Neurospora crassa OR74A: one gene and its partners. The protein of the gene in region 3 purifies or fractionates together with the protein of the main gene of each other region. This does not show direct contact. Links are inferred from orthologs where the notes say so. Each region holds a gene or a part of one and is shown on either strand. Other genes may lie near its edges. The genes, in order: NCU03625, NCU03778, NCU05645, NCU00505 and NCU01614.

What was found.
Region 1: the proteins of NCU05645 (region 3) and NCU03625 purify together in Saccharomyces cerevisiae (affinity purification with mass spectrometry, with the first as the bait; 4 studies listed by BioGRID). This does not show direct contact. The link is inferred for Neurospora crassa OR74A from reciprocal best matches to the Saccharomyces cerevisiae genes LUC7 and SMD3.
Region 2: the proteins of NCU05645 (region 3) and NCU03778 purify together in Saccharomyces cerevisiae (affinity purification with mass spectrometry, with the first as the bait; 3 studies listed by BioGRID). This does not show direct contact. The link is inferred for Neurospora crassa OR74A from reciprocal best matches to the Saccharomyces cerevisiae genes LUC7 and SMD2.
Region 4: the proteins of NCU05645 (region 3) and NCU00505 purify together in Saccharomyces cerevisiae (affinity purification with mass spectrometry; 3 studies listed by BioGRID). This does not show direct contact. The link is inferred for Neurospora crassa OR74A from reciprocal best matches to the Saccharomyces cerevisiae genes LUC7 and SMD1.
Region 5: the proteins of NCU05645 (region 3) and NCU01614 purify together in Saccharomyces cerevisiae (affinity purification with mass spectrometry; 3 studies listed by BioGRID). This does not show direct contact. The link is inferred for Neurospora crassa OR74A from reciprocal best matches to the Saccharomyces cerevisiae genes LUC7 and SMX3.

The regions. Positions count from the first base shown.
Region 1 is NC_026505.1:1,885,848-1,891,927, forward strand, and holds NCU03625 (small nuclear ribonucleoprotein Sm D3), read right to left. Parts: upstream 3,762-6,080; 5' UTR 3,578-3,761; coding exon 3,530-3,577; intron 3,459-3,529; coding exon 3,398-3,458; intron 3,310-3,397; coding exon 3,180-3,309; intron 3,046-3,179; coding exon 2,934-3,045; 3' UTR 1,803-2,933; downstream 1-1,802. Other genes in the region: NCU03624 (hypothetical protein), read left to right, coding at 1-1,768; NCU03626 (hypothetical protein), read left to right, coding at 5,440-5,608, 5,661-6,080. UniProt on the Saccharomyces cerevisiae protein: Plays a role in pre-mRNA splicing as a core component of the spliceosomal U1, U2, U4 and U5 small nuclear ribonucleoproteins (snRNPs), the building blocks of the spliceosome. Also binds telomerase RNA and is required for its accumulation.
Region 2 is NC_026505.1:2,381,125-2,386,792, reverse strand, and holds NCU03778 (small nuclear ribonucleoprotein Sm D2), read right to left. Parts: upstream 2,861-5,668; 5' UTR 2,649-2,860; coding exon 2,623-2,648; intron 2,524-2,622; coding exon 2,491-2,523; intron 2,343-2,490; coding exon 2,291-2,342; intron 2,214-2,290; coding exon 2,008-2,213; intron 1,923-2,007; coding exon 1,880-1,922; 3' UTR 1,391-1,879; downstream 1-1,390. Other genes in the region: dak-1 (dihydroxyacetone kinase 1), read left to right, coding at 1-681, 739-1,307; NCU03777 (mitochondrial 3-hydroxyisobutyryl-CoA hydrolase), read left to right, coding at 3,613-3,735, 3,810-5,213; NCU03776 (ABC multidrug transporter), read right to left, coding at 5,623-5,668. UniProt on the Saccharomyces cerevisiae protein: Plays a role in pre-mRNA splicing as a core component of the spliceosomal U1, U2, U4 and U5 small nuclear ribonucleoproteins (snRNPs), the building blocks of the spliceosome.
Region 3 is NC_026506.1:1,218,971-1,224,526, forward strand, and holds NCU05645 (U1 snRNP splicing complex subunit), read right to left. Parts: upstream 2,636-5,556; 5' UTR 2,506-2,635; coding exon 2,478-2,505; intron 2,406-2,477; coding exon 1,579-2,405; 3' UTR 1,305-1,578; downstream 1-1,304. Other genes in the region: NCU05646 (hypothetical protein), read left to right, coding at 1-371; gpit-1 (GPI transamidase component GPI16), read left to right, coding at 3,137-3,549, 3,624-4,024, 4,085-5,169; NCU05643 (hypothetical protein), read right to left, coding at 5,276-5,409, 5,497-5,556. UniProt on the Saccharomyces cerevisiae protein: Component of the U1 snRNP particle, which recognizes and binds the 5'-splice site of pre-mRNA. Together with other non-snRNP factors, U1 snRNP forms the spliceosomal commitment complex, that targets pre-mRNA to the splicing pathway.
Region 4 is NC_026501.1:8,191,886-8,197,297, reverse strand, and holds NCU00505 (small nuclear ribonucleoprotein Sm D1), read right to left. Parts: upstream 2,792-5,412; 5' UTR 2,665-2,791; coding exon 2,651-2,664; intron 2,533-2,650; exon of another isoform or gene 2,432-2,532; coding exon 2,264-2,431; intron 2,186-2,263; coding exon 1,996-2,185; 3' UTR 1,446-1,995; downstream 1-1,445. Other genes in the region: NCU00504 (hypothetical protein), read left to right, coding at 576-1,337; pkr1 (ER membrane protein), read right to left, coding at 3,352-3,855. UniProt on the Saccharomyces cerevisiae protein: lays a role in pre-mRNA splicing as a core component of the spliceosomal U1, U2, U4 and U5 small nuclear ribonucleoproteins (snRNPs), the building blocks of the spliceosome. Also binds telomerase RNA and is required for its accumulation.
Region 5 is NC_026502.1:2,950,761-2,956,673, reverse strand, and holds NCU01614 (hypothetical protein), read right to left. Parts: upstream 3,703-5,913; 5' UTR 3,392-3,702; coding exon 3,284-3,391; intron 3,082-3,283; coding exon 2,990-3,081; intron 2,880-2,989; coding exon 2,807-2,879; 3' UTR 2,023-2,806; downstream 1-2,022. Other genes in the region: pp-2 (protein arginine N-methyltransferase HSL7), read left to right, coding at 1-1,568, 1,675-1,857; NCU01615 (hypothetical protein), read right to left, coding at 4,128-5,913. UniProt on the Saccharomyces cerevisiae protein: Plays a role in pre-mRNA splicing as a core component of the spliceosomal U1, U2, U4 and U5 small nuclear ribonucleoproteins (snRNPs), the building blocks of the spliceosome.

The DNA of each region.
Region 1 (6,080 bases), on a different chromosome or scaffold from region 3:
TGCCGCCCCGGCCGAACCAGAACCAATTGATCCCCGCAAAGACCTTGAGAGCGCTCTCCGCGACTTACAAACCCTCGCACCCAACCACGTCAATCTTCCGCGCCTCCAGCTCGCCCTACGCAACCTTAGCCAAGATCCCGGCCATGAATCGATACGAGTCGCATTCCTCGGCCTCACCACCGGCGACAAGCCCCAACACACTGCCAGGGAGCTGCTCCGCCTGGCACTCGCCGATCCGCTGAAATCCGCCCAAAACTGGGAAGCGCAACTCAAGGCCCACGACCCCTCCAAGCCGCTCATCGTACACATCGGCCCTCCCGAGGAGCAAGCCACGCCACTGTCGCTTGCCGCGAGCGAACATGTGATCCCCGAAATCACCGTGCCGTCGCACATCTACAACGATGCCAACCTCGAGATGATAGTCATGGAGGCCGACCAGGCAACCGTCGCGCAGGCGGGCGAGCAGCCACACACCTTTGACGAGGCTATCCTCGTGCCCGCCGTCGACACAGCAGCCACCACAGCCGGCCACTCGGCGCCCATCGTCACGCCCGTGCACATGGCCGTGCTGGTAGCCGACGGCGTCCTGAGCGCCGCCTCCATCCTGTCACTGCCCATCAGCCCAGAAAGCCAAGACACCATCACGGCCGTCGCCAACTTCAAGAGGATCAGCGCCGAAGACAAGGCCGCATGCCCGTCCCTGGTCATCACTAGCGTCGAGGCTGGTGCACAGGGCCTCGACCTCTTCCGTGAGAGCGCTAGCAACGCCATGAAGTACGAAGCCCTCTGGACCGAGGCCGGCGTGGGACACATCAACAAGTGGCTGCGATCCAACGTGCTGTCGCAAGCTGAGCAGGAAGGGGCCACCAAGGCGCCCGTGCGCAAGCTGATTGAGTCCATTCTGCACAACGCCGGCGCGGCGCTCCAGGCGGCCGAGTACCGCGACATGAAGGTCTCGGTAGAAGGGGGCCCGTCGCCGCACACGATTGCGCGCCTGAACCAGGCGCTGGCGGACTGGGCCAAGGATGCGCACGAGGAGCTGCAGCAGCAGTTAGAGATTGCGTTCGTCGGCGAAGCGTGGAGGCAGATGAACTGGTGGAAGCTGTTTTGGCGGGTGGATGACGTGGGCATGCTGTCGTCTGAGATGATTGCCCAACGATTCTTGCCCGAGGCTGAGAAGCGCTTGATCTTTTTGGCCGGCAGGCTCCAGGAGGCTGGAATTACTACTGCGGGCGGAGAAAAGCCGGTGACGTACTCCGGCCCGGCGGTTCCACCGTCGTTCCCCGAGGGCGAGAGCAGTGTTGCTACTACTGCTGCTACTACGGAATCAGAGACCAAGGGAAATTGGCCTGCGCATATCCCCTTCACAAGAAACTATCTACTAGCGGAAACTGTTCCGGCCCTGCAAGCACTGGCGCAGAAGCTCGTGCTACAGTCATCAACATTAGCGGGAGCCACCACGGCACTCGGCGGCATGTCCTGGCTCTCTGGATTCGGAATATATGAGTGTGGAGCCGTCGCCGCCTTGGGTATTGTTTTGAGTTTGAGGGGCTTGCAGAAAAGGTGGGAGAGGGCGAGAGATTTCTGGGAGGGCGAGGTTCGTGAGGAAGGACGCAAGGCTATTCGCGCAACCGAAGCCAGCATTGCCGAGGTGCTGGATAGCGTTTCTCCTGAAGTTCCCGAGGATGTGGCGGTTGAGATTGAGGAGCTGAAGGAGGCCAAGAGTGTCCTCAAGCGGGCCGAGGAAGCGCTTGCGAGGCTGAAGTAGAAATGATGGGTTGCAACAGATGTTTAGAAGGACATTCTGCAAACCGAACTTGGTCAGTTTCGGACTTCTTGTGCTTATTATTTTCCACAGCCCTCTCGCCCTGCCTGTTAGTCCCTTAGGTGGGTGTTTTGACAATATGCCCTCTCCAACTCAACCCTTAAACAGCCAGTTGTATATTTAGTCTACACGATTCACTCTCACTCAGAGCATTGTTGCAAGCTCGTCTTATGCGAGCCTCACATATAGGGACAGGCGGGTTAGAACCGGCGGACGCAACAGATCAACCAGGGCTACACTCTTATGTACCATTAAAAAAGCAAGCCGAAGTGGGAGTAAAAAGGGGGCATCGGACTTTTGTGGTAGATATCAAAAACTGTCAGCGTAGGCTGAAGATGGAATGGGTTGTGTGTACAACAACATAATAGACAAAGACGTTGAATACGTACCCTGTCTATATCAGAACCAGGGCTAGTAGGAGTTTCGCTTTCGGTGCGATTCGATCCATGCTGTATGTGCTCGCTCCTTGGCCAAGGACTCAACTGGGGGGAGACCTGAGGCTGGCTGAACACCTGGTTCGCTCTGGCTGCTAACCGTGATGAAGCCAGGTTTTCGTTGCGTGCTGACGGACGGGTAGCGGCTGTTGCATCGACCGACCATTATCGTCCAGCTGGCGGAGCGTGAAAACCCCTGGATACGCCACGCTTCTCCCATGATCATCATTTGGCAGCAGATGGATGAGCGGGGCCAGCTGGCGTCCTCCATATCACTCCTCATCGAGGCTCTCAACCCTCCAATCCCAGCCCCAGCACTCACTCCAGTCCCTTCTCATCTCTGGCCGGCCTTGAGCCACCCTCCTCCCTATCCCTCCTGTTCCTCCTTCTCTGGGCATCCAAAGCTTGCCCCCCACACTTTTCTCTTTCCATCCAACTCGCTGCCCCCCATTTTCGGTAGAAAGAAGATCAAAGTTTGCTTTATTGGTTCCCCCCACCCAAAACGCCTAAAATATCAAAATAGCGGTTGTCGTTGCGCGCGGAAAAAAAAAAGGAGCCATAATATGCCGATTATTGTGCCCCAATATTGCATTCCGTTGTGAAATTTTCAATGATTCTCGGTCTGGGTCTGGTCTTGGTCGATGAGTCTGACGACAGGCGGCGCTCGCTGTCTTCTATCTGGCGCCGCCACGACCACCGGCGCGCGCCCTACTGACTGTCGCACGACCGCGGGCGAGACCGACACCGCGGCCGCGGACGTTGCGGGAGCGGAACATGGGGGCGTTTCTGTATGGGAACACAAAAAAAAGAGGAGGAGGAAATGATTAGCTTGGGTCCTATCCGACTTATTGGGTAGGTAGGGGGCAACTGGGGAGAAGAATCGCAACGGATGAGTTGGTGGTGGCCTGGTTTGAACGTACCTCAACATATCCGGCACAATAAAGAATCGCACATGACTGCCGCGGATGTAGACTTGTTCGAGATGGCTGACGCGCCCGTCGCGGGCTGTGACGGTGATGTCCTTGAGTTGGACGTTCATGTTGTCCTCGGCTGTTTTGCGGGGGAGCGCATTGGTTAGCATGGCTGGCCAGTTTAGAGGAGTGAATGGGAATGAAGAGTTCATGGGGGTTAGCAGTACCTTCGATAAGCTTGCCACGGTAGGTCTGGCCGGAGGTGATCTCGAGAGTGACGATATGGCCCTGTGGGACAGGAGTGGTTGGTTAGCTTTTGGCAGCACTACAGTCTGTGCATAGCAATGGTGTTTACTTACCTGAGCCTCATTGAGGAGCTTGATGGGGATACCAATTGTGGAAGTCATGTTGGCGGCTGTGTTATTACGTGGTGAGGTTGGTTGGCGATGTGGAGGGGCGAACTGATCTTTCTTGGTGTTGGTTTTAGAGATTACCTAGATGGTATGCCGTAAGTACAGGCGACTTGGTTCGCGATGATAGTGGATGCGATCAGTTGCCTTTGACGTGAACGCGGCAGCCCTGTCAGCCCGGTGCTGCTGGGAATTTCGTCGGAGAGCTTAGTTGATCTTGTCAGCTGCAAGACAGCTGCCAGATCTCACGGTACGTACCGCGCATTGAGGTCCTACACTACAAGGAAGTGTGGAGGCTTCCCCACACGCCTCTTCTGCGCTGTCCCCACATTCAGTGAACTGGTGGTCTTCGGTCATCCAAAACCTCGTCATCGTCACTGACATAAACCTTCTTTCTTCAACCCATTGGCAGTAAGTGGAATTTACCGGCCTGCTGTCATACGCTTGTACTCAATCAAAGTATGAACTGTCTGGTTCAGCACCCCGAACGCCGTTATCGCTCAACTTTCCTGGCTCATGTTCCGAGTCGTCGCATGATGGCGGCCGTCACGGGGATGGGATTGTCCAACGCATTGAACACAGCATCCCCAACCTTTTTCTCAATGAGGCCTTCTTCGATGTTCTATACGCTGAATTATGTGAGGTCCTTCGGTTCTCAATTCACCCTTGTCCCCGAATATTGGACAGTCACTCCCCTCCCGCTTTGCCCCATACCACCAGCCAACCGTTGACGAGCAACTCCCACATTCTCGACGGCCTCGTCTAGCCATTGCCTATCAGCCAAGGACGGGACGTGATACAGGACAGAAAACGCCCCTCGACGTTCTCCAGACTTCCTCGCGCCCCGAGAGATGCCGTACCCGGGTCCTTCTGCATCATGCTACTACATACATGCCTCCATCCTCGCTCCCTGTCGGCCACGACCACGGCTTGCACGGCTACGTAGTCCAGCGAGTAAGGGGCCATCTGGCCTTGTCCCATTTTCAAAACGCAGTGACGGGCTGGCCAAGTGGGCCGCCGGCCAATTGCTGTGTTGTCAGCTTGATGCCCAAACCCTATGATCAAACCCCACGAACCGCCCCGGCACCGCTGAATGGGCGAGGCAACTAACCGTCTCAACCTCGAGCTGCGGCAGGTGGGTTTGGCGTGGACTGATCTTCCATAGCACTGGCTGTTATAGGCTGCATGCATGTGCATCGAGAGACCATGATCTGTGTGCGTCTGCTCCTCCGTCTTGGTTGCTCCGAGTTCTCGGTCTTTTCTCTCCACCTTCTTTGTTATCTCGCTGTGTGAGCTGGATCGTGTGGTGATGGTGCGGTACTAGCAAGCTTTGACAAGCTCGACGGCAGCTCCGGTTGCATCCCACCTCCCACCATCATGTCCTCGTCTTTGCCCTGATTGGACGTCTCACCACTCTCCAGGAGGTGTCTGCCAACTTCTAGCGCTGGACGCTACATGACATCTCAGTTCCGAGTGGAAGATCTCTGGTCTGGTCACTCCATCAGTTCCGGTAATTGAGGAGTTGACTTGGCCGTCGTGCAGACTTTTACCCCTGGTGATGTGGGCTTCCCGTCTCCTACTTATGCCCGTCCGTCTCCCAGCGTGGGATCGGTTCGTTTTGTCACAAGATCCTTTTTTAGTGAATCGAGAATTCCATTCGCTGTTTGCTTCACCTCAAGAAAAAGAACGCAGACTGCCTGGACTACGTGGTCCTGTCAAACCGAGATCACACTTGAAGGTCGTATTGGCCCTGGATTTCCTACACGAGGGCGTCGTACCTGCTTTAGTCAACCGGAGGCCCACTCCTTCCGTGTTTCTCTCTTGGTCAGGTCTCAAGGTATTGTCTTGCCTTCGCCATAATGCCAGGAAGACATCGGGCCTATACTACCGAGCACCCGGCGAAGGGCTTCAAGTGGTTCCCATGGAAGCGGGAAAAGAAAGTGGTGGTCGAGCCTGTGCAGGTGTGGTCAGATTGGGTGTCAAGTGAAGATGGAACCTACTTCTATCGAGCCAGGAAATTGGCTGACGGTACGCCCTTGAAAATCCTTCCTTGTTGTACCCCAGCTGATTTTTCCTGCAGGTACTTGGGGAGATTATGAATACACAGAGGGTTACTACATGGGAGGTTATGCGGGGGAATATGCCGGAGGGTATGCCGGAGGATATGCGGATGGGTATATGGGAGGTATAGAGATACCCCAGGAGAAGGAATACCACCCGGCAGTTGCGGTCAGCCCTTGGAAACTCCCCGAAGAGCCCGTTGCGATCATGCCAGAGAGCTCCGAGGTCATGGAGGATCCAGAACGCAGTTTCGCGGAGATCGCAGAGTCAGAGCCCATTGGAGAGTTTTCGGTCGCAGATGAGGAGGAACAACATCAAGGCACTACCACCAACGCCACCTCAGTCTCGGGTGATGATGCTTTTGACAACCCGTCAGAAGACGACGGCTACCGTGAAAGCGAGCCCTTGCCGACCGTGCAAGAAGCGGAACCCATGGTGT
Region 2 (5,668 bases), on a different chromosome or scaffold from region 3:
CGGAGGCGGAGGGCGCCGAGTTCAAGGTGTTGAAGGAGGGCGAGGTGGAGATTGGCATGGGGATTCATAATGAGCAAGGGAGCAGTAGGGAGAAGGGGATTGGGTTGCCGGAGTTGGTGGGGAAGATGCTGAAGCAGTTGCTGGATCGGAACGATGAGGACAGGGCGTTTGTGAACGTAAATTCGAATGAGGTGGTGCTGTTGGTGAACAACCTCGGTGGTGTCAGCCCGTTGGAGATGGGCGGGATTGTCACCGAGGTGGTGACGCAGTTGGCGGAACAACCGTATGGGATCAAGCCCGTGAGGATCCTGAGCGGCACGTATATGACGAGCTTGAATGGGTTGGGATTTAGTATCTCGCTGTTGAATGTGGTTAACACGGACATTGGCGGACCGGGCATGATTGACTTGCTGGATTACCCATCTGAGGCAACGGGTTGGACAGCACCCATCTCCAAGCTGACTTGGGAGGAGCAGCGGGAAAACAAGAGTACCCGGGAGAATGAGGTCAAGTCCGAGGAGGAGGTGAGGCCTTGTGGTCTAACGTATGAGCCCCAGGAGGTGCAGAAGCAGCTGGTTGCCGGGCTGAAGGCTGTCATCGCCGCCGAACCGGATGTGACCAAGTACGACACCATGGTGGGTGATGGTGATTGCGGTATCGGTCTGAAGCGCGGCGCTGAGGGTATGTCCCCCTAGCAACAACAACCCCTTTTCCCCCTGATAGCTAACAGAATGCCAGCAATCTTGTCGCATCTCGACTCCAACCCCCTAACAGGCGATGCAGCCATTGACCTCGCCAAGATCGTCACCGTGGTCGAGCAAACCATGGACGGTACCTCGGGTGCTCTCTACGGCATCTTCCTCAACGCTCTGGTCGCCTCTCTCCACACTGTCGGTGGAGGGGAGTCGGACAAGAAAGCTGCTGATGAAAATGCCTGGGCCGCAGCCCTCAAACTGAGCTGTGAGGCCCTGTCCAAGTACACGCCCGCTCGTCCCGGTGACCGCACCCTGGTTGATGCCCTCTATCCCTTTGTCGATGCGCTCGAAAAGACCGGTGATGTGAAGAAGGCGGCCGAGGCTGCCAAGCAGGGAGCTGAGGGCACCAAGGGTATGAAGGCCAAGTTGGGCCGCACCGTCTACATTGGCGGGTCCGGATTCGAGCAGGTGCCGGATCCGGGCGCTTGGGGATTGGCCAAGTTCTTCCTTGGACTGGCTGGAATTGAAAAGGCTGATGATTCCAGTGCTAAGCAGGCCAAGGGATCGGATGATGGATGGGAGGAGGTTACAAGAGAGGCGGAATTGCCGTAAGAATTGGTGCTGTATGTGATCTCGATATACCCCTAGGTAGTTAGTTTGCACCACCATTTCAATGACGTACCAGGAACACCAATACAAATCATCCCGTTGCTTGTCGTTAAAAAGCACGAGAAAACATGACCGCGTCTGCGAAAACCTAAACACGGTCTGGGTATTCTGTTCGATCAAGTTACCAGAAATGAAAGATAAAAAGTTAAACAAAACCAAATACACGTTTGAACGCCGAGCTCACACTAGTTTTCCCTTTGTATGACCTTCCTAATAGCCCCTGAAAATCTGCTTGGGTTTCTCTTCTTTCCTCTCGTTCCTGCGCGGCGCCTTTTCACGGGGCGTTTTGAATTGCTTTCGTGGTTGTGTCGTCATCATGGTCGATCGAGCGGTTGAGTAGTAGTAAGGTGATATAGTCCGCATGTCTCTCGATTCAGTCGACCAACAATAGGTACCCTTCCCGGGCTCATCCCCACTCCATTCGAGCCATTAACCCTAAGTTGTGCTGGCGCGTGTCTTCGCCGTGCAAGTGAAATAAACCTCCAACCTATACATTTTGCCGTGCTATTCGTGAACTAGCTGAGGAGGACAAGGATGACGGAGTCGCCTCTCAGGAACCTGCCAGGAAAGTGAAACATGTCAGCCATTGATCTTCGCTTCTCCTGGGCGAGAGAAACAACAGATGAAAAGGAAGTGCACAAACATCTTGCTGATAAACCTGTCCTTGTTTACGGGCTTGCCCTTCTTGCCATTGGCCAGTCGGGGCGTCTCGGTCCACATCTCCTTGACGTTCTCCAGCACCATGTTCATGTGGCGATCGAAAGCCTTGACGCGCGCAAGGATCTTGCGCCCATTGCGGACGGAAATGAGGACTTGGGAGTGGCTGCGGACGGCGGTCTGGAGGATGGACTGCCAAAAAGGGTGTCATATTAGTCGCTGCTCCGTGTCGAAGGGGTGGTAGATCAAGGCTTATGGGGCATATGTACCAGAGGACCGGCGGAGAACTCGTGCTCTTCGAGGAGAGAAACTTCGTATTCACTGTATCAGACGAGTTGGTTAGCTTTGTGATTTGGCTGGGCGGGCGTCGTGGTCTTGGGTCGCAAAGAGGAGGAGCTGGGAGCAGCAGGGCGGGCGAGATGACGATGGTAACAGAGGGAGGTGATGTTGACAAGAGGATATAACGTACGTAAGCTCATTGCGCGGCTTCGTGAGAAGCTCCCTGTATAGTAGACAGTTGTTAGTCAAGTTGGTTTCCTTGAAGCGTCCATGGGCTGCCCGCGCACATGGGTTGATGCTGGAGAGTGGGATAGCTACTGACTGAATCTTTGCATCCGCTGAAGCCATGACGATGGTGTTTTGGTCTAGAGTTGAATTGGAGTGGTACTGAAATGTAGGAGGGGCAAATGAGTTGTAGTTTTGTCTTTGTATCAAAAATGGTTGTTGACGTCGAGTGGTTGCTTCGCGTGGTATGGGTTGGTGGTGTACGGTAGAAGCCTGGACAATAGTTGCTGTAATGGATGCTATCGCTATCTTCAATCCACGACGGGAAATGTTGCAGCAGCGGAGGGCCAGGCGCGGCGGCGACTCGGAGCGTGGAGCAGCTACAGCACACGCGCCAAGCTTTTCTGGGAACAGAACCGTCTTCAAAGTTTGGCGATTGGATGACAAGCTCACGGTGGATCCCAATGCGAAAGGCTGAGGACCGCTCCGGTGACAGGTGCTGCCAGCCCCGCCGAACCCGACATGCTCCCCCGGACAGCCGGGACATCGGGTTTCCAGTGAGCGGAGGGCCCGAGCGTCGCTTCTGGAAAATGACAAGTTTGAATGGATAGAGGTATCATCGGCCGGAGGATATTCCAGCTTCTAGCGATAGCGGCGGGGATTCGGCAGGTTCCACAGCTACCTCTACACTATGTATTAGCTCCCCCGTACCTAACCCCGCCCCGGGGATTGCCAGGCGCGGTGCCCTTGAAAATCAATTGAAGCTGGAGCTCCATTTCGCGTTGAATTCCAGCAAAAAGTGGATTTGCAGATACTCTCGCTATCACTTATCACGGTTCCTGCATCCACGCGGCATTCAGATCATTGGTGATTGTTCTCCCGTTTTCCCTTTCCCAGCCCAGGAAAACGAGTCCCGAAAAAAAGTGCCCGAGTCCCTTGGCCGGTCTATGATGCAACAACGGTGCTAAACAGCCTCGGGGTGGATTTTGGACTTAGTATTTTTCTTCCATATTGACCCTGGGTCTTGTTATTCCATTCCTATTCTAGACAAAGCCAGCCAGCCAGCCAATTACCGAAGTGTACATCGATGTTGGTCTCCAAGTCCATTGCCAGCCGCGCCGGCTTGGCTTCTGCTGTTGCTTCTCGCAGCTGCCGACCAAGCTTCACCGCGATGCCGCTCAGAGCCAAAGTCCTGGGCCAGCAGGCCCCAGTAAGACGCTCCTTGGGAAGACAAAAGCCATGGACACGGACACAGCTAACACGCTCGCCGCCCCCTCCTCCCAGATCTCGACCCAAGCCGCCGCCGAGTTGTTCAAGCCCGTCGAGGGTGACGAGCCCGAGGATGTCCTCTTCAACAGTCTATATAATCTCCGCTCCGTCGAGCTCAACCGCCCAGCCAAGTACAACGCCCTCAATGGCTCCATGATCCGCAAGATCGCGCCCCGTCTCCTCGAATGGGAACGCTCCGATATGGCCAACGTCATCGTCATCAAGGGCTCCGGAGAGAAGGCCTTCTGCGCCGGTGGTGATGTTGCCGCGCTGGCCAAGCAGAACGCCGAGGGCCCCGAGGGCGTCAAGAAATCCGTCGACTATTTCGGCCTCGAATACAAGCTCAACCACCTGATTTCCACCTACACCAGGCCTTACGTGGCTTTCCTCGACGGCATTACCATGGGAGGTGGTGTTGGTCTCAGCATCCACGCCCCCTTCAGAATTGCGACCGAGCGCACTGTCTTCGCCATGCCCGAGACCAAGATTGGCTTCTTCCCCGACGTCGGCGCCTCTTTCTTCCTCCCCAGGATGCCTGGCCAGGTCGGCCCCTACCTCGGTCTCACCAGCGCCCTGCTGAAGGGTGTCCAGGTCTACTACGCCGGCATTGCCACCCACTACCTTCACTCGAGCAGTCTGCCTGCCCTGGAATCCCGTCTTGCCGAGCTTACCCCCCGGGACTACTGGACCATAGAACAGCGCCTTAGCGTCATCAACGACACCATCGAAGAGTTCTCCACCGGTGTCCCCTACGACGAGAATATCGAAATTGGCGGTAAGATTCGCCTTGCTATCGACCGTTGCTTCAAGTACGACAAGATCGACGAGATTATTGCCGCCCTTAAGGAGGAAGCCGCTGAAGGCGCCAAGGGAGGCGTTCAGAGCTGGGCCAAGAACACCCTGGAGGAGCTTACCCAGCGCTCCCCTACTTCTCTCCATGTTACGTTGCGCCAGATGCGCCTCGGCAAGTCTTGGGGCATCGCTCATACGTTCAAGCGCGAACACCAGATGGCCGCCAAGTTCATGAAGTCTCACGACTTCAATGAGGGCGTCACCGCATTGCTCATTGACAAGGGGGCGAACGGACCTGCCAAGTGGAAGCCGGCTTCGCTAGACGAGATCCCCCCTGGAGCCAACATCTCCGAGGACTACTTTAGGAACGACCCAGAGGTCCCTGTGTTGGAGCTGCTCAACGACAGATCCTACATGCAGTATCCCTACAACAAGTTTGGCCTGCCCAACGATTACGACGTCAAGGAGGCGATAGAGAAGGGCAACTTCACCCGGGAAAAGCTCATCGACCACTTCGTCGAGACCAGGCGTGGCAAGCAAGGTGTTCGGGAAGCCGTTTCTGACGTCCTCGATCGTATGGCCGTGCGGAGCAAGGGTACTGAGCATGTCCAATGGAAGAAAGAGTAGAATGGACAAAGATGCTAAGGAGTGGTCGGAGAAATGCGCGTTGTACGATAACCCACCCCGTGTTGATAATGATGATGATTGCCCCATCCAGCCAGGCTACCATGTTGTCTCAGTTGCCATTCTCCGCTTTTGTGTCGAGGATCTCCCGAATTTACAACACAAAGGTTTACTCAGTGTTATTCTATGGATGGCGATAGTACTGTTACGGCTACTTCTACTTTCACAGCGACTATACCTTGATCTCTTCTCAGTGCCGGGCCCTAGAGTCTGAAACCCAGCGGCATGCTGTGTGCTTCAAGTCATGGATCTTGGACCTCTTTTCAGTCGTACCTTCGGTCTCTGATAGAAAAAGCTGTGTTGTACATGCTATTTCATGTCTATACCCTAGACCTGTTACATCTTATTCAAACTAGTCCCAACCTGTCCCCAAGGCATCACTTCCATGATGAAACCCT
Region 3 (5,556 bases):
GTCGTACCCTTTTCGAGCCGGACCCGGAGAACGAGACTGGTCAGCGTTTCTATCAGCGTGACAATAACCGAAACCGCGGCAGGGACTGGAAGGCGGATGGCCCAGCGGCCCCTCGTGCTGAACGCTCCGGGCCTGGGCCTGGTGCACCAAAAGCCGACAAACCGAAGTTGACCCCCGACGAGTTTCCTGCACTCCCCGGCAGCAAAGCCACCGCACCGCAAGTCAGCACAAGCGCCCCCCTATCTTTTGCTTCCTTGCCCCTCTCGCCTGCTGTGGGCAGATGGGATGATGAGGTGGAAGAAAGTATCTCGAAAAAAGCGGCACAGGCAAAGGAGGCGGCGAACGCGCAGGCGAAGTCAAAAGGAAACTAGAACCCTTCCTATGCGAGGCCTACCTTGGCTTCAACCGTTCGTTCCAATTCTCAGGACCCTCCTCGTATCAAGCCACCGTTAATGTCAACGACGCGCCCAAAAGGTCACCATGAATCTGATTCGCGAGACACAGTCAATAAAGAGCCGGCAGCGGAGCATGAGTCGACGAAACTGGCGAGGGTGAAGGGTTTCCTCTCAGTTCCAACCCAAGTAGTGGCTGGCCACCTAGGTCTTGAACCACCAAAGGTTGATGCCACTCTAACTTCAGATCAGATAGTCACTGCCCGCCAAACCCTTAAAACGCCGGTGGCCACTCCAGCGTTAGACAAGTTACCAGCCGGTCTCCAACATCTCGAACCGTCCAAGGCGGTCGGGGTACAAAGACGCCTCGAGCAATATCAAAGGGACCTCGAGGAAATGCAACAGAAAATCGCAGAGAGGGCAATAGAAACACCCGGGAGCCACAAAGCATCCCAGGTTTTGCCACTTACAGCAAGTAACAGAGCATTGCTGGATGTTCAATATATGAAAAGCGAGCACGTTGAAGATGAACAATCCTATCGCCATTATAACAACCCGGAAAACATTATAAAATGGGTAACAGAATCCGATATCACCCAAATGCGTCGGTGGAAGGGTCCCAACATGCATTCCGATGAGAATAATACGACACCAGAGGAGTAACTTGCCGTTGGTGACGACTCGGTGTATTTTTCCTCGGGAGGGCGACTTGTAGAGGGGTCCTGGAAACCACAGGCATTTTTTTTGGGCCGTAGAGGATGGAAGCGAGGTGTTTCTTTCATGTGATACGAAAAATGTCTAGACAACAGCGATTTTGTAAAAGCGAACAGACGAATTGATACCACAAGAATCTGAATTGAGATTGCTAGCCGGAACCGCAATTGATCATGCACAATGTAAAGGGTAACCCGAGTTATATCGCATTGATTGAAGTGTAATTGCTGGTAACGTCGATTCTATACCTGTCTGTGTGTTGCGCTCTCATGATATAACTAATAGCTTCTTTTCTCTACGCGGGCTGCAAAAATAAAGACCATAAAGGGACAAGCTCCGACTTCTTCAAATCCCAGGCTCGAATAGTGTAAAACGCCCCAACGCCCTTTCAATGCACATGATTCCGCCAGATCTTGGATCGTATCCATCTCCTTTCCCCGTTTCTTCCCTTAACATCGACGCCTCAAGCACCCTACCACCCACCACGTCTAGGACCACGCCCACGATAACCGCCACCGCCACTCCTGGGTCCACGGCCTCTACCCCAATCATCATGTCGTCCACCAGGACCCGTTGGCACACCACCCATATCATCATCACCACCACCGCCCATTCCCATGGGCCTCTGCCGTCCACGCATCTCCTTCGGGAATGCATCATACGTCTTCCGCATCTGCGCATATCCCAAATGCATCTTGCCAAAGAAGTGATCCGCCAGTCTGCGGTCATTATCCAACCGGGACAGGTACGCCCCGCACACGTCGCACACCTGCAGCTTCTGATGGCCTGACGGGCCACTCGTATCCGACAGCGCCTTCAGCTCTCTCTCCTTCTCCTGCTTCGCCGCTTGCGCCTGGCGCACCCTGAACAGCTCGTCATACGCCCTCCCCACTTCGCCCAGCTCTCCCAAGATCTCCACCTCCAACAGACCCGTCGCAATGGTCGTGCCCAAGTCCGAGATGGCCTTGAGCAACACGTTTGTCTGCCGGATCTCGTCGGGCGTCTTTTCGAGGCGTCGCTGTGCCGCGTCGATCCGTCGGTTGCACTCGTCAATGTACTTTTGCAGGTCGCGCATGTAGTCGTAGTCGAAACCGTACTTCTTCTTTTCTTGTTCAGGCAGGGCTTCGTACTCGGCCTTGAGGGCTTCCGAGTGCACGCGCGAGCACGGGCCGAGGTCTTGCTTGGTGTTGGTGAAGAGGTCGTGCGGGCAGGTGCCGACGAGGTAGGAGCGGCAGACTTTGGGGTCGGTGAGGGAGAGTTGGGCGGAGCGGGAGGAGATGCCGCCGCCCATCAGCTGCTCTGCATGGTTGGGGTGAAGAAGTTAGTGGGAGTTTGTAGGGGGGTGGGAGGAAGTATGGGGATGCGACTTACCGAGCAGCTTTCTTTGTTCGGCCGCCATGATTGGTCTTGTTGTTTATAATTATTACTATGAAAATGTTTTGGGTTCGATAGGCGTCGCTAGGTTTTGGTTTGACGGAAATTGCGAGGGCTGGTGATGGTAAAGCGCTTTCGCGGTTGCTGACGTTTTGTTTTGTTTGGGAGAAATTCCCAAGATTTTGGAGGTCGAATGCAGTCGCAAAAGTCAGCCGCGCATGCAAGGCTGCTTGCTGGATGGAACCTGATCGCTGAAACCGGGGAAGTGGACCCACTTTACATACCCTCCATTCCCCTGTTGCCGCTATAATCCCGGTTCATCCACTGGAAATGTGCTGTCATCAACCACAATTCCCTTCTGGGTCTTGTCCCGCTATGCCAGGGCGCGGCAGGCACTCTTCCAGCACCTCCCATCAGCAATGGGGGGGGGTGCCCAAGTTGCGATCCCCTCCGACGGCAGCCAGGGCACCCAACGCAACACCAACAAAAGTTAAAAGTTAGGTGTGAACTGTCACCATCTTTGCCGTCGTGTCTTCCACTTCTACTTCTGTCTTGCCATTGTCTCCGGAAATTGCTTTTGGTACTTTGCGGTGGACGTACAGATCAAGCAAATGGATAGACAACGGCAATAGACAGCGTTCACTCCAGTTAATACAATGCGCCCATCCTTTCCTTCTTCTTTCTTACTCTCCTTACTTTCTCTTCTTTGCTTCTCGCCCTACACTGCGATCGCCAATGCCTCCTCCTCCCCTGCCGATTCCATTTCCAACTCCCGATCCGACTACCACGAACAGCTAATATTGCGCCCGCTACCATTGTCGACTCTGCTCGCCAGCTTCAACTTCCGCTCCAACACATCGCTCTCTGCCTTCGAGGCGCACAATTTCCGCTTCTTCCCCAGGTCGCTGGGCCAGATTCTCGAGCATGCCGGCACGCGCGAGTTACACTTGAGGTTTAGTCTGGGAAGATGGGATGCCGAGAGCTGGGGCGCAAGGCCGTGGAATGGTGCGCGCGAGGGTGGAACAGGTGTTGAGATGTGGGCGTGGCTGGAGGCAGATACAGACGAGGAGTATGTTTCACCACCACCCACACAACACCGCGGATCATGACTTGGGCGAGAGACTAACTACAGACACCATGTAGGGCCGACCGTAAATGGCTGACGCTCACCAATGCGCTGTCTGGCCTCTTCTGTGCTTCTCTCAACTTCATCGATAGCACCCGAACTACCCGTCCCGTCATGTCCTTCCAGCCCGAGGGCAACCACATCGACGCGAACGCGACGAACATGCACCTACTTTACGGCGTGCTACCCCACGAAGTTGTCTGTACCGAGAACTTGACACCCTTTCTTAAGCTTCTTCCATGCAAGGGCAAGGCTGGTATTGCGTCGTTGCTTGACGGACATAAGCTCTTCGACTCCTCATGGCAGACAATGGCGATCGATATCCGGCCCGTGTGCCCGGAGGATGGCGAGTGTGTGTTGCAGATCGAGCAAAGCATTGACATGGTATTGGACATTGATCGATCCAAGAGACCCAGGGGTATGTGTACTAATGATTGAACGACGTGGTTAAAGACTACAACTGACGAAACCGGCTTAGATAACCCGATTCCCAGGCCCCCTCCGGCCCACGAGATGAAGTGCAATACCTCGAAGCCGTACCACGCCCACGATACTTGCTTCCCCACCGATTCAGCCGCCAACCAGGACTGGTCGCTATCCCAAATCTTCGGCAAGCCTATCAAGGGAACCTGCCCTCTGACCGACCCTAACGTGTCTCCTGTCTGCATCCAAGTTCCCGATTCGCGTATTGTCTTCGCCTCCGAGGGCGCTGTTGAGAAGAAGAACCCCGATCAGACTTCACGCTGCTTTGACTTCCCCGCCGAGAACGACTTCGAGATCTTCCTCCCTGCCCCCGAGGCCGAGGACGGATCAGTAGTAATCGAACACGTCGTCAAGCCCGAAACGCCCCTCCTCTACGCCGAACGCAGTTTCACCGGCCACGGCCAAGAGCGCGGCGGCGTCCAGACCATTCTGCGCAACCCCAGCCCCGACCAGGAAGTCGAGTTCATCTACATGGAATCCCTTCCCTGGTTCATGCGCATCTACTTGCACACCATCTCGGCCCGCGTCGACGGACAGCCCGGCAAGGCCGATTCCCTGATCCAGGAAGTCTACTACCGCCCCGCCGTCGACCGCGCACGCGGAACCCAACTCGAAGTCCGCATGACCGTCCCGCCCGCTTCTACCGTTTTTCTCACCTACGACTTTGAGAAGTCCATCCTGCGGTATACCGAGTACCCTCCGGACGCGAATCGCGGGTTTGATGTGGCCGCCGCTGTCATTACCATCTTGAACAGGGACAACAAGAGCGGTGGGAATGGAAGAAATTCGCGGTTTGCGGCATATAATCTGAGAACGACCACATTGCTTTGCAACCTCCCGACGCCCGACTTCAGCATGCCGTACAATGTCATCATCTTCACGTCAACGGCTATTGCCTTGGCGTTTGGCGGCATGTTTAACATACTGGTGAGGAGGTTCGTGGCGGCGAATGAGGGCCCGGAGAGCGGGTTGAAGAAGGGGGTAAATAAGTTGAAGGCGAAGGTGGCAGGCTTTCTGAAGAAGGGAAAGAAGGAGAGTGCTCCTGCTGTTGCTGCGGAGGAGGAGAAGAAGATGGAGTGAAAACACAACGGAACGGTCCATCGTTGTGTTTAGACACCGGGTGCCAGGTCATATAGTACAAATAAAATTGTAAGAACCACTTTCACACTCTGAACTAGCACTACCTCTACTGCCCCTTAAACCCCGGGAAAAACCCCCTCGGTACCTCCCACCCAGCATCAACCTCGTCTTTCATCGTCTTCACAGTCCTCTCCACCATATCCGGTCCATACTCAAGTTCAACCACTTCCTTCATATTTTCTGCATTTTCGCGTCAGCAGTCAGTTTGTCCCCTTTTACTTCCTTAACCCCTATGGCCTAAAATTAAGAAGCGGAAAAAAGACTTACTAGGCACTCCCGCGTCCCATCCCTCCTCCTTTAGATACACCTCCAACTCCCGCGGCGCCT
Region 4 (5,412 bases), on a different chromosome or scaffold from region 3:
GGAGGGTTTGGATGAAGAAGGATAATGTTGTAAGTGAGAGCGGGAAACTTGAGGAGCTTGAGAGGTAGCGAAGGTAGGCGGGCTTGGGATGTGTTGTTTGTTGGGCATCTGGGTTAATAGTAAGGAGGTAGCTACTTCGAATGGCGCTGTTTTCATGCGTCGATGCTAGGTAGCGGGTATCACCTACCTGTAGACGCTGTCTGAAGTGAGGATGCTGCTCGCCTAGATGGTGCTTTGTGAAGAGAGAGAGTGACTAACTCGGTCATCCTTCTATCTTTTGCTCTCACGCATACAACCCTTATCACGTGCCAAGGCTGAGTGTTTATCCGAAACGAAAATGAACATAAAATTTCGAGCCTTGTCATTTCTTGTTCAAACAACCCAAATCGGACAAAACTGGAAGCGATCCTCAACGTCGCTGTCGCCAAGTACTCAACAGTTCATTGGTCCACCTCTTGTCCCTTGAGATTTAATTCGTCGGCCTCGAACAGGGTACCACTCACCTCTTATACCGAATTAAACACAGATAGTGCAACGGCAACAACCACCCAAAAACCAATCACCCAACCGCCATCATGCTCCCAACCCCCGACACCTCCCATGTGCCTTACCAGCGCGTCTACGAACCAGCCGAGGACTCCTTCCTCCTGCTCGACACGCTCTCGTCCTCCTCCGAAACCGCCTTTCTCTCATCCCGCTTTGCCTCCCCTAGTCCCTTCTCCCCTTCCCCAGCGCCTCTGATTCTAGAAGTCGGCCCCGGCTCCGGCGTAGTGATCGCCTTCCTAACCGCGCACGCCTCCACCATCTTTGGCAGCCCGCATGTCCTGTCAACCGCCATCGACGTGTCCCCCTTCGCCTGTGCCGCCACCAACCTTACCGTCTCCAAGGCCGTTTCCGAAAATACTTCCACCTCCGGTTTTTGGACATCAGCAACCCAAGGTGACCTCGTCTCCCCCTTTCGTCCCGGATCGGTAGATGTCCTAGTCTTCAACCCGCCCTACGTCCCTACGCCTGACTTGCCTGCGCCGCCACCGACAGGGTTGCAGGCACTGAAGGAGAAAACGACGTTTGAGGAAGACTCACATCTCTTGGAGTTGACGTATGCTGGAGGGAGGGATGGGATGGAGACGACGGATAGACTGATTGAGGCCTTGCCGGGGGTGTTGAGCGAGAGGGGGGTGGCGTATATTCTGCTTTGTGCGCAGAATAAGCCGGAGGAGGTCAAAGGGAGGATCAGGGTGATGGGTGGTGAAGGGAAGTGGAAGGCAGAGACGGTGGGGACTAGTGGGAGGCAGGCGGGTTGGGAGAAGTTGCAGATTGTGAGGGTTTGGAGGTGAATGGAGGGATGAGATGCTGGTGATGAGTTGAGGATGGGGAGGAAGCTGTTGAAGAGGGTGGAAGAGGGGGAAGGACGATGGTCAGTCACGTACAAGGCTCGAAAATTCTGGGGGAAATTTGGTATAGAGAGTTGCTGATTGTGCCGCCTTCTCCAGTAGGCATATATCGCCGTCTATCTGTTTTGTGATACATAAAATAGTTCATTCCGGTGGCGGTTGGGCGCGCCTTTCTCTCTCTCCCTTCCCGCTAGCAAAGTGATTTTATCCTGTCCAGAACGCCGCAACGAAATCCCAATGCTTGCCCTCTGCTCCGATCCGATGAGGGGGAGTGGTGTTTATGTGTGTAACACTCGATGCGAATGAGGTGAATCTCGAGTGTCGCTCAAGTGAAGATCTGGGATATGCTCCTCGATTTTCTGAAGCGCACTCATCGTCGATTTTGTCGTGTCGTCGCCACCGGACGTTATTTCGGGCCGGCCTTGATCTTCCCTACCAAGACGGTCAAGCCGGTCGACCGAAGGGGGCATAAAAAACCGAAAAAAATCCACCATTAACCGTAGTATAGCATCGTATCGTCTTTGAAAAAAAATCTAATTCGCACGTTTCTGTCGTCCAGGGAGACGTACGCCGTGGCCGATCCCAAAGAAACGAGATCCGCTTAGCCACGGCCACGACCGCGGCCGCGACCCATTCCCCTTCCTCTGCCACGGCCACCACGGCCACCTCTGCCGCCGGCGCTGCGGTCCGCTTCCTTTCTCGCCTTGTTCTTGGGCTTCACGGAATCATCAACTAGCAATGTATCGAGCGGCAAAGAATCGGGGAGTATGAAGTAACGGATGGTCGAGCCCCTGTAGGGTTTCAATAGTTAGTGATGCCCTCGAAAACTGAAAAGGGCCACTCCCCCTTAGTTGAAAGGGTTGATTTACCTAATGTTCATGGCATCTAGAGCCACAGCGTCCTGGCCCTTGGGGGTCATCTTGACGTTGCGAAGCGCAGTGTCCATGCGGGGTGTGACCGAGGCGATAGTGCCGTGTACAATTGTGCCGTTCTTCAACTCAATCGTCACCGTCTCGTTGGCGCATTTCATCAAAAATCTGCAGTGTTGAAGTAACGGATTCCACTTCGTCAGCCTGGTGCCCTTGGTGTTCTTTTTCTAGTAGAGCAGCATGGACGCGCGCGAACACGGGCTGGCAGCCTTGAAGGCGAGGACTCAAAGCTCAGCATGCGTCGTGCAAGAGAATAGGAATGAAGTCGGGTGGGATGGGGTATCGGGTACATGTAGCGAAGTATCAGAAAGCAAGGAGAAATCTTACCTGACCAGCTTCATCTTGACTTATTTGGACAACGCGTAATCGAATATGTGTTGTATGGAATTGGTGGTGACAAGGTCTCGATTACCAGCTTGTTACTTTGTCAATCAACAGTCGCGACGGGAGAAGGCTTGTCGAGCTTCCTTGGACGCTTGCACAACCATCCAAGCGTCAGGGTGGAGCAGATAGCCTGCCGTCGCTACGCGCCAAGATAGAGCCCGTGCTCAATCACGTGAGCCGAGCTGAACAGGCAAACGGCGGCTTGAAAGCCCCTAACCCTGGAAGTCATGGGTTTCAAGCTATCCATAAATTGCCTGCCCTGCACATGATCTGTTCATGTGCTGAGTTGAAGCAACCAGATAATTGGGGTACACGAAGATGGGCTGGCTAACTGCCACGCCGAACAACAAGGTGTTGTTTACTATGACTTTGTCTCTGAAGCTATAGCTGTAGTTGCACAGATCATGATGCCTCATGGCAGGATAAGGACTATGAAACGAACATAGGGCTTACAGCCTTCAACTGCCTCTCCTTTCATCCAATGAAGAACGAAAACAGGGTGGATGTGTAAATGCCATCGTCGCTCAACTCCAACACGAAAGCGGACCATGACACTATTTACAGGATGCCATGGTAACTTCGCTAACACGACATTCGCTTGTACGTTCTGCGTGTGGTCGGTCCCCGCTCAATCGCCAGGATATTCACTTGTCCTTTTCGTTCTCGTTCTCCGAAACCTTCTCCCACTCATCTTCCGTGCTGACGCCGCTCTTAGTGCCCAGGCTCGGTGTCTCCTCAACCACTCTGTGCTTCAGTTCTCCAATCTGCTGGATAGGCTCAACCTCATGGCTGACCGCCTCTGCAATTGACTCCTGCCTCGTGAGGCTAGCTGTCGATGTAGCTGCCTCTACTTCTGTTTCGCTGTCTTCCGATGTGACTGGAGTTGGCGCTGCTTCTTTGGCTCTTCTCGCCTTTTCCTCTTCTTGGATTTGGTGCACCTTCAGTTCCGCCGCGAACCAGTTGATGGATCCCCAGAGTCCACCGCAGAGAGCCGAGAGAATTACGAAGTGGATACTCCATGTCGCAAAGAGGAGGCACGCCAGGACAATTTGCAGAGCGGCAAATGTGACATTTGTCGCGATAAGGAGGGTGGGAGTCGGCCCCGGAGTGAAGATCGACTCCCAGAGATTTGTAACGAAGGATGTCATTGGGAAGATTAGGCTGGCGCTATGTCGGCGTTGAAAAGTTTGACCGTGAAGGTATGTCGTGTAGAGGAAAATTCTTGTTGTCGATTCGTGTTCAGGACGATGCGCCGTGGAAGCGATGCGGACAAACGAAGAGACAAACTCGCAGTAAAGTCAATGGTTCGTAGTGGATGACTACAGTCGAAGAGAGGGTTAGTCACGGCCTCACAACCTTTATAAATGACGAGGGACAGAAGGCAGGGGACGGATGAGGATGTGCAGCCCAACCAGACAAAGCCCGTAGGGCCGAAGAGCTGGTCACCCGCCGAGAGGACAGGGCCATGGATACCAGATCACAAGACACGGTTGCTCTTCAACTACTGACCTATTCTAGTTGTATAATTTGGCCTTTGCTGGCTCCAAAGCGTGCCGTTCGTTGCAGGCTGCCACCGGTGGGACGACGCACGAAATTGTCGGCAGAGGGTGATCTTGTTTAGATCAGATGAAAGTATGTGCGATACGGTCAATCGATGCCACAGGATTGGGCGTGCGTAAACGGCGTGCGTAAAGTGAGATAGACAGCTGGGTGTGCAGCACTCGAGTAAATGACAGTTGAGTAAAACTCTGCCTTGGACAGAAGAAGACGACCGGGAAAGCAAAGGTCTTGTGGTGGATGTTGAAGATCGGTCTGGCAATGTCGTGAGTCTGCCCGGTGATTCTTGAATTCCAGTTTATGGCAGAGGTTCGTGACGTGATGACTGGACGGCGGGGAAGATCGATGGATAATGGTGGGGTAATCTAGGTACATATGTAACCGCCTTTTCAGGCTGAAGGAGTGGGTCTAGACCGGGAATTGAGTTCAGCTTTCAGCTCCACTTACTTACAGAAAAAGCTGGGTCTAACTGTACGTAACCCGCGAAGCTATCGCGGACTTCAACCGTTCCAAGCATTCAATGGCTGGCAACATGATACGTCAACTGTACAAACAACGTCCTTTATACCTTAATATGACCTTGAGTGTCACAAGTTGCCGAGACTAGATCTCCTGGCTACGAAGCTCACGAGGTTGCAGCAAAGACTACCGAATTGGTCAAAGATCCTAAGCGACCAACATCTGAACGCAGTGTTGTACTCTTAAAGATGGAATGAGGGGGATGCGTCCCCGTGATCCGACTGGCACAATATACTATTTTCACCCAATCACAATATCCCGTCCTGGACGGTGACGAGGGCGCTTATGTCGTCGATGCGCTAAGATAAGGAAGCGTATAAGTCACTAACAGCATTCGGCTGACTGTCAGCGAGGAAATCGTTAGGGCCAGCTCCATACCAATATCACTTACAAACAACACCATCTTCATCCGCATCTTGGTCACGCATCCTATCTTGTGCCATCTGCGCATTCATGGACTAGACAAGCACGGCGTTGGAACAGCGTGAACCCCAGTAGTTCGGTTAACTTACTGTGACACACCATCACCGCTCTGGAATCGCGCAGATAGGTTGCACGATCACACTAGCGATGCATCACTTCCTCGAGATGCTCTGATCCAGGAACTGAATCGAACTTCGCTCTCATAG
Region 5 (5,913 bases), on a different chromosome or scaffold from region 3:
GTAGCAGCTCCAACTCCAAGGAGACCGTCAAGACCGATGCTGCCAAGGGCACCGAGATCGATCTCTTCAGCACCTGGGACAGTTGGCACACCATCCGGACCGTCTGCAAGTACAGCGGTCGTCTGTTTGTTGCCCTGCGCATTCCCAAGCGGGTACCTGAAAAGGACCTGCAGGAGCGCTGGTTCTCCGAGCCGCTGCACTACCTGACCCTCGATAAGAAGATCTTCTCGCTGAACAAGGCCGGTCATCCTTCCCTTACCCGCCATCATCAGGACTTGATCAACCGTTATATGCGCCTCAAGAACCACCCGTGGCTAATCCTGATTAATGTCGGTCCGTCGACGGAAAGTCTCGTCGAGGCCCCCAGCAAGATGGAGGTTGACTTCCCTCCTTTGTCCGAGGCTAGCAAGGCAGTCAAGGAGAACCGCAAGCCGTATGCTCCTCCCTACAACGAGTACGTCGATTACATGAAGTACCTCGAGAGACACCAGCCCCCTTATTCGGCCATGGAAACTCCTTCGCTCGTCAGCTTCCAGGACTGGCTCCAGTCCCCTCTCCAGCCGCTCTCGGACAATCTCGAGTCGGCCACATACGAGGTCTTTGAGGGCGATCCGGTCAAGTACGATCAGTACGAAAAGGCCGTGGCCGAGGCCATGCTCGAATGGAAGAAGTACAACCGGCCCGTCTCCTCCGTGACGCCCGAGACGCCCGACGGCAAGGACCTGATCGTGGCCGTCGCCGGCGCCGGCCGCGGCCCCTTGGTTGCCCGCGTTCTCCGGGCCGCCGCATCCACCAACACTCCTATCCAGCTCTGGGCTCTGGAGAAGAACCAGAACGCCTACGTCTACCTCCTGCGCCGCAACAAGCGCGAGTGGAACAACTCGGTAACGGTGATCAAGACCGACATGCGCGAGTGGGAAGGTCCTCGCCTCGCAGCCAACCCGAACATCATCACCAAGCTCGACATTCTCGTGACTGAGCTCCTCGGTTCCTTCGGCGACAACGAGCTTTCCCCGGAATGCCTCGACGGCATTCAGCGGCACATTGCCCGCCCGCACGGCATCTCCATCCCCTACTCGTATACCGCCCATCTCTCCCCCATCGCGCACCCGCGCATCTTCGCCGACCTGTCCAACCGCGTCGTCAGCGACCCCAACGCCTTCGACATCCCCTGGGTGACACGTCTGTTCCAGCTCGCCTACGTTGCCCAAAAAGTGCCCAAGCACGGCCGGTTCCAGCAGGCCTGGGAGTTCGTGCACCCCGTCGAGGTGTCGCGGGCCGACGACTTTTCTGCCCAAAACGGGCGCGCGCGCAAGTATGTTACTCACGGCAGCGGCAGCATGTACGGCTCCAGCGGCATCAACGAGCATAATGCTCGGCACTGCCATTTGACGTTTGTCTGTCCCACGAGAGGTGTGATCCATGGTCTGGCGGGCTACTTCGAGAGCGTGCTGTACAAGCATCAGGAGGAGGGCAAGACGCCAGTAGAAATTAGTATCTTGCCAGATCAGATTGATCGGAAGAGCAAGGACATGATTTCCTGGTTCCCGATTTTCTTCCCTCTTAGGGTGAGTTTTTATCTCTTCTTCCTTCATTTCTTGTTTTTCTTGACTTTTCGCTCCTCGCTCCTGCTTTGGTGACGATTACTGACCCTGTTTCTTCGACGATACATAGCAACCCCTCTACTTCCCTCAGGACACCGAGCTAGAAGTCAGCATGTGGCGCCAGACCGACGACACCAGGGTGTGGTACGAGTGGATGGTTGAAGTGTATGCTTGGGTGGGTCCCAAGACCCGTATCAAGGTTGGCGCTTCTGAGATGCATAGCAGTCGTAAGGTTGCCTGCATTTTTGGTTAGAAGAGAGGAAATGTAAAAACGGAGGTAACTAGGTACCAGTAGGTGGTGGGCAAGGCTGGCTAGGTCGGGTGTTAGGAGTGTGTAAGTATGCAGCTGTAACAAACGCTGCGAGGAAAAGGTCAAAAGTCTTGTTTTAGCGAAAGAATAAAAGATTCGAAGTCAAATGGTGGATAGAATGTTCATAATTGGGAAGGCGCGCGATGTGTATGATGATGGTGACTGTCTTTGCCTGTAGTCGTGTGATGTATAGGCAAGTGGAAGTTGAGACTAACAGAAATTCACGCCGCTCGTTCTCTTTTTCTTTCAGTTGAAATAATACCTGGAAACCAGACGCCATGTCCGCATGTCTAACTCAACCCGCCACTTCCTTTTCTTTGCTCAGTACCTAGATGATGTGTGGTCTTGACAGATTTTTGTTTCTTTCTTTCCTGTTAAGCTGAGTATTGTTCCAACATCTTATTTTAGCCTTTATCTTCAAGGAAAGGCCAGATGGCACATGCTCCTTTGACGGTCTTGCGCAGGAGATGCAACGAAGGTCTCTACCAGACAGAGAGACGCTCGGTACCCATCCATCCATCCATCCACCGTTCACTCTCTCTTGAAGCAAATCCGCCCTTCCGTACCACTCTCCACACCATGCGCGCCCGATATCATCAAAGCTGTTGTCGCACCTTTCGTGAAGCGCACACTTTCATCATTGGGAAACGAGTTTTCGGCGAGCGGGTGCGTTGTGGTTTGTGCTTCGGTTCGGCTCGGTTTGGTTTGGTCGGTAGAGTAGATCCATCTCTTCTTCTTCTTCTTTTTTCCTCCCAGGGTATTATAGTCGGAACATCACGACCCTCCCTCCTCACACATTCCTCCTGTCTGTTCTGCAAATCGCGCCCTTCACCACCCTGCCCGCTAGTCTAGGCTACCCTTTCATTTCCTCCTCCTGGTGGCGAGAGAACTTTCACTCTTCCATCTTGACGTCGCCACTTGTTTCCGCCTCGTCGGCCTTCTTGATGTAGAGAACGTTGTTACACCTATTGTTGAAGTCCATAATGTCAGCATCCCGGCTAGTTGATACGAGATGGGGGATTGGGTCGTCCGTATGGAAAGCCGTAGCAGTGGGATGTATTCAGTATGGACGTACCTGATCAGAACCTGCCCCAAGGCGCCCGTAAACTTGCGGTTGATGTACTCCTTTGTGTCGCTGAGCTGAATGTTCATGTAGCTATCGATGCTCTGTTGTTCACATGCACACACGCATTTCGTCAGCCTCTCTCTCTTTGTTCTTCCTTCGTTGCTCCTTGGTCCTGCCTGCTGGTTTCCCCCTCCCCTCCCCTCCCCATCGCTTCCCACAGCTGTGTATGCCAAGACCAAAGTCCAGCGGCAAAGGGAAGGCTAGATTGGAAGAAAGATGCTGGATATGTATATATATACGTACAACAAGACGGCCAACATACTCCGTCTCTCCCCACTTCAAGCGGATCGTCACAAAGCTGTTGACGAGATCTTGAAGGAAGGGACGGGGGTTAACTGGGACAAAAGACATGTTGTCGGTTTCGGTTCGAAGGGTTGGTTCTTGGTCAAGTGCGTGGCGCCTTGTGTGTGTATTCACAGGCTTGCTGTTGTTGTTGTTGTTGTTGTCGTCGATGGGACGGCTCGAAAGTTGGATTCGCGATTCGGCTTGGTGCTAATGGAATTTTGTATTTGTCGGTTTTCTTAGATGTGTAAGAGTGGGTTGTGGTCGGGTGGACGCAACAAGGTCGAGGTTATGGTTATGAAAAGTTGGGAAGAGAGATGGGATTGGCGTTGATGCTATGATGGAAGAAGCTCCAACTGGGACTGTGCCTCCAATGCTGGACCTTTGCGGCGTTGGAGTAGCGCGACGATGGAAGTTCCTCTGTTACGAGGGACATGTGGAGCCCTAACGCGATAGCTGATTGGACGTGGCAATAAGCCTGTCTGATTAGTAGATTACAGGGTTAGGGTTGGTGGCTAGAGGATACTTGATGTTGTTGACAGCGACGATGATGAGCATCACCAAGACCTTTATGGCGATCCTTTTGCTTATCATTACTCAGGTACATAGCTTAGTGTATTCTTTCACTTCTTCACTCAAGTTTACCTGGTGACATCTCTCCCTGATTATTTCCGATGCCCACTTACACCTTCAGGTCAAGACCCTCGAAGACGCCGATGTTTTGAAACGAAATGGAAGGGGACTGTTCAGGACCTGACAGGAAGTCATTTTGAATTAATAAAGTCCCATACTGGGTGAAGATATTTTACTCAATCTCCTCAATCCTAGGTCTACCGCCGAACATCTCAACACCGCCACTACTTCCACCACTATCATCACCACCATGGGAAACCGACCTCTCCGGGTCGACAACCAACCCAGCCAGCTTCGTTAACCCACCACCACCGAACCCTCCTCCTCTTGCCTGGCTCAACGACACTTCATCCACCAAGCTATTCGTCTTCCAATTCTCCAAGCTCTCCAGCACATCCCGACAATACTCCCTGACCAACCCATCCTCGTCCGTCTGCTCCACATACCCCAAAATCGTCCTCAGCTGCTCCTGCGTCTCACTCCCAAACGCAATCCCCAACACCCTCCCCTCGTGCTTCGCCTCGTCCATGGCCTTGATAAAGCTCATAATCAGCCTCACCGCCGCCCTCCTGAGTATCCCCTTCTCCAGCTGCCGCTCTACCTGCACAACATTAATGCACAGATCCACGCTCGCCATCGTCAACACCGCCGCGACACCAACAATATTCGTCTCGATGCAATTCGCCAGAATTGACAACGCAGAGGCACGGATCCTTACATCCTCTTCACCCGTTTTGGAAGTACCAGACGACCACCCTTCTACAATCGCCTCCAAGATATCAAGCCTAGCCTGCTCCTCAGCAGAAATCGGATCCGCCATATCCGGCACGCTGCCGTCCCACGCGTCTTCGGCTTCTTTATGCTTCTGTTCCCGCGCCTTAGCCTCGCGCGCTTGGCGCGCCATGGTCTTGGGCCGATGCCCCCGGCGCGATGCCAGGCTGATCAGGGCTTCGCATGTCATCTTGGCTAGGTCGCCGGTGAAGGTCTGGCCCAGTCGGTCGACGACTTGGAGTAGGGCCTCGCCGAAGCGGAGGCGGGCGTCGACGGTCGCCAGGGCGGATTCGCGCGGGTCCAGGTAGCGGTCGATCAGGTCGGTGAGGACGGCGCGCGGGTGGGCGTTGGCTAGTTGGGTGTAGAGCTTGATGCAGCGGAGGTGGATGTAATCTTCTTCCGAAGAGTTTGGCTCGCAGAGAAGGGTGGCGAGCAGGACGAGGATGCCGGGGATGTCGAGAATGGGGGATTGGGAGGTGATGAGGTTCGAGATGAGGTTCAGACCTTCGGAGCGGACGGGCGGGGGGGAATCGGGTTGGGTGATGTAGGAGATGGCGAGGGAGTAGGTCTTGCGGTCTTCAATTTGGCGGTCTGTGGGACCACCGGTTGTTGTGGTGGTCGAGGATGAGTCGGCGGCTTCCAGGGCATCGATTTCGTCGCGGTAGCGCAGGAGGAGGGTGAGGTTGGAAGCTGTTTTGGCGTTGTCGTTGTCGCCTGTTTTGGAGAGGGCTTCAAGGGAGGATTCAATGACACGAAGGACATCAGGGTCGACACGCTTCTTTTGGAAGCCGGGGACGGTGATGACCATGTTGAGGAGACTGAGGGCTACTCTGATCACTTCGTCCTCTCCGGCCTCATCCGCGGTATCTTTGTTGGCTTCCGAGAGCACCTGGCTGACTAGCTCGAGGATGTGTTTGGGTTGCCCGGCGAGTTTCTCGGGGAACTTTTCCATCATGGCCAGGAGAAGCTTGACCTCGGTGAACTGGGCTATCGGGTCTTTATCCTCCTCTTCATCTTTGATAATCTGAATCCCGCTCTTTTTCTGGCCTCGGGCTGACTTGAGCCACCGCCCGAAGAGATCGAGGAATGCTGAGGAGACATCGGCCTCGGAAAAAGTTGAACCAATCAATTCCAGCAGTTTGGGTATCTTTTGATCGATTTCTGGAAGTGAAAGGCCGATGTATTGC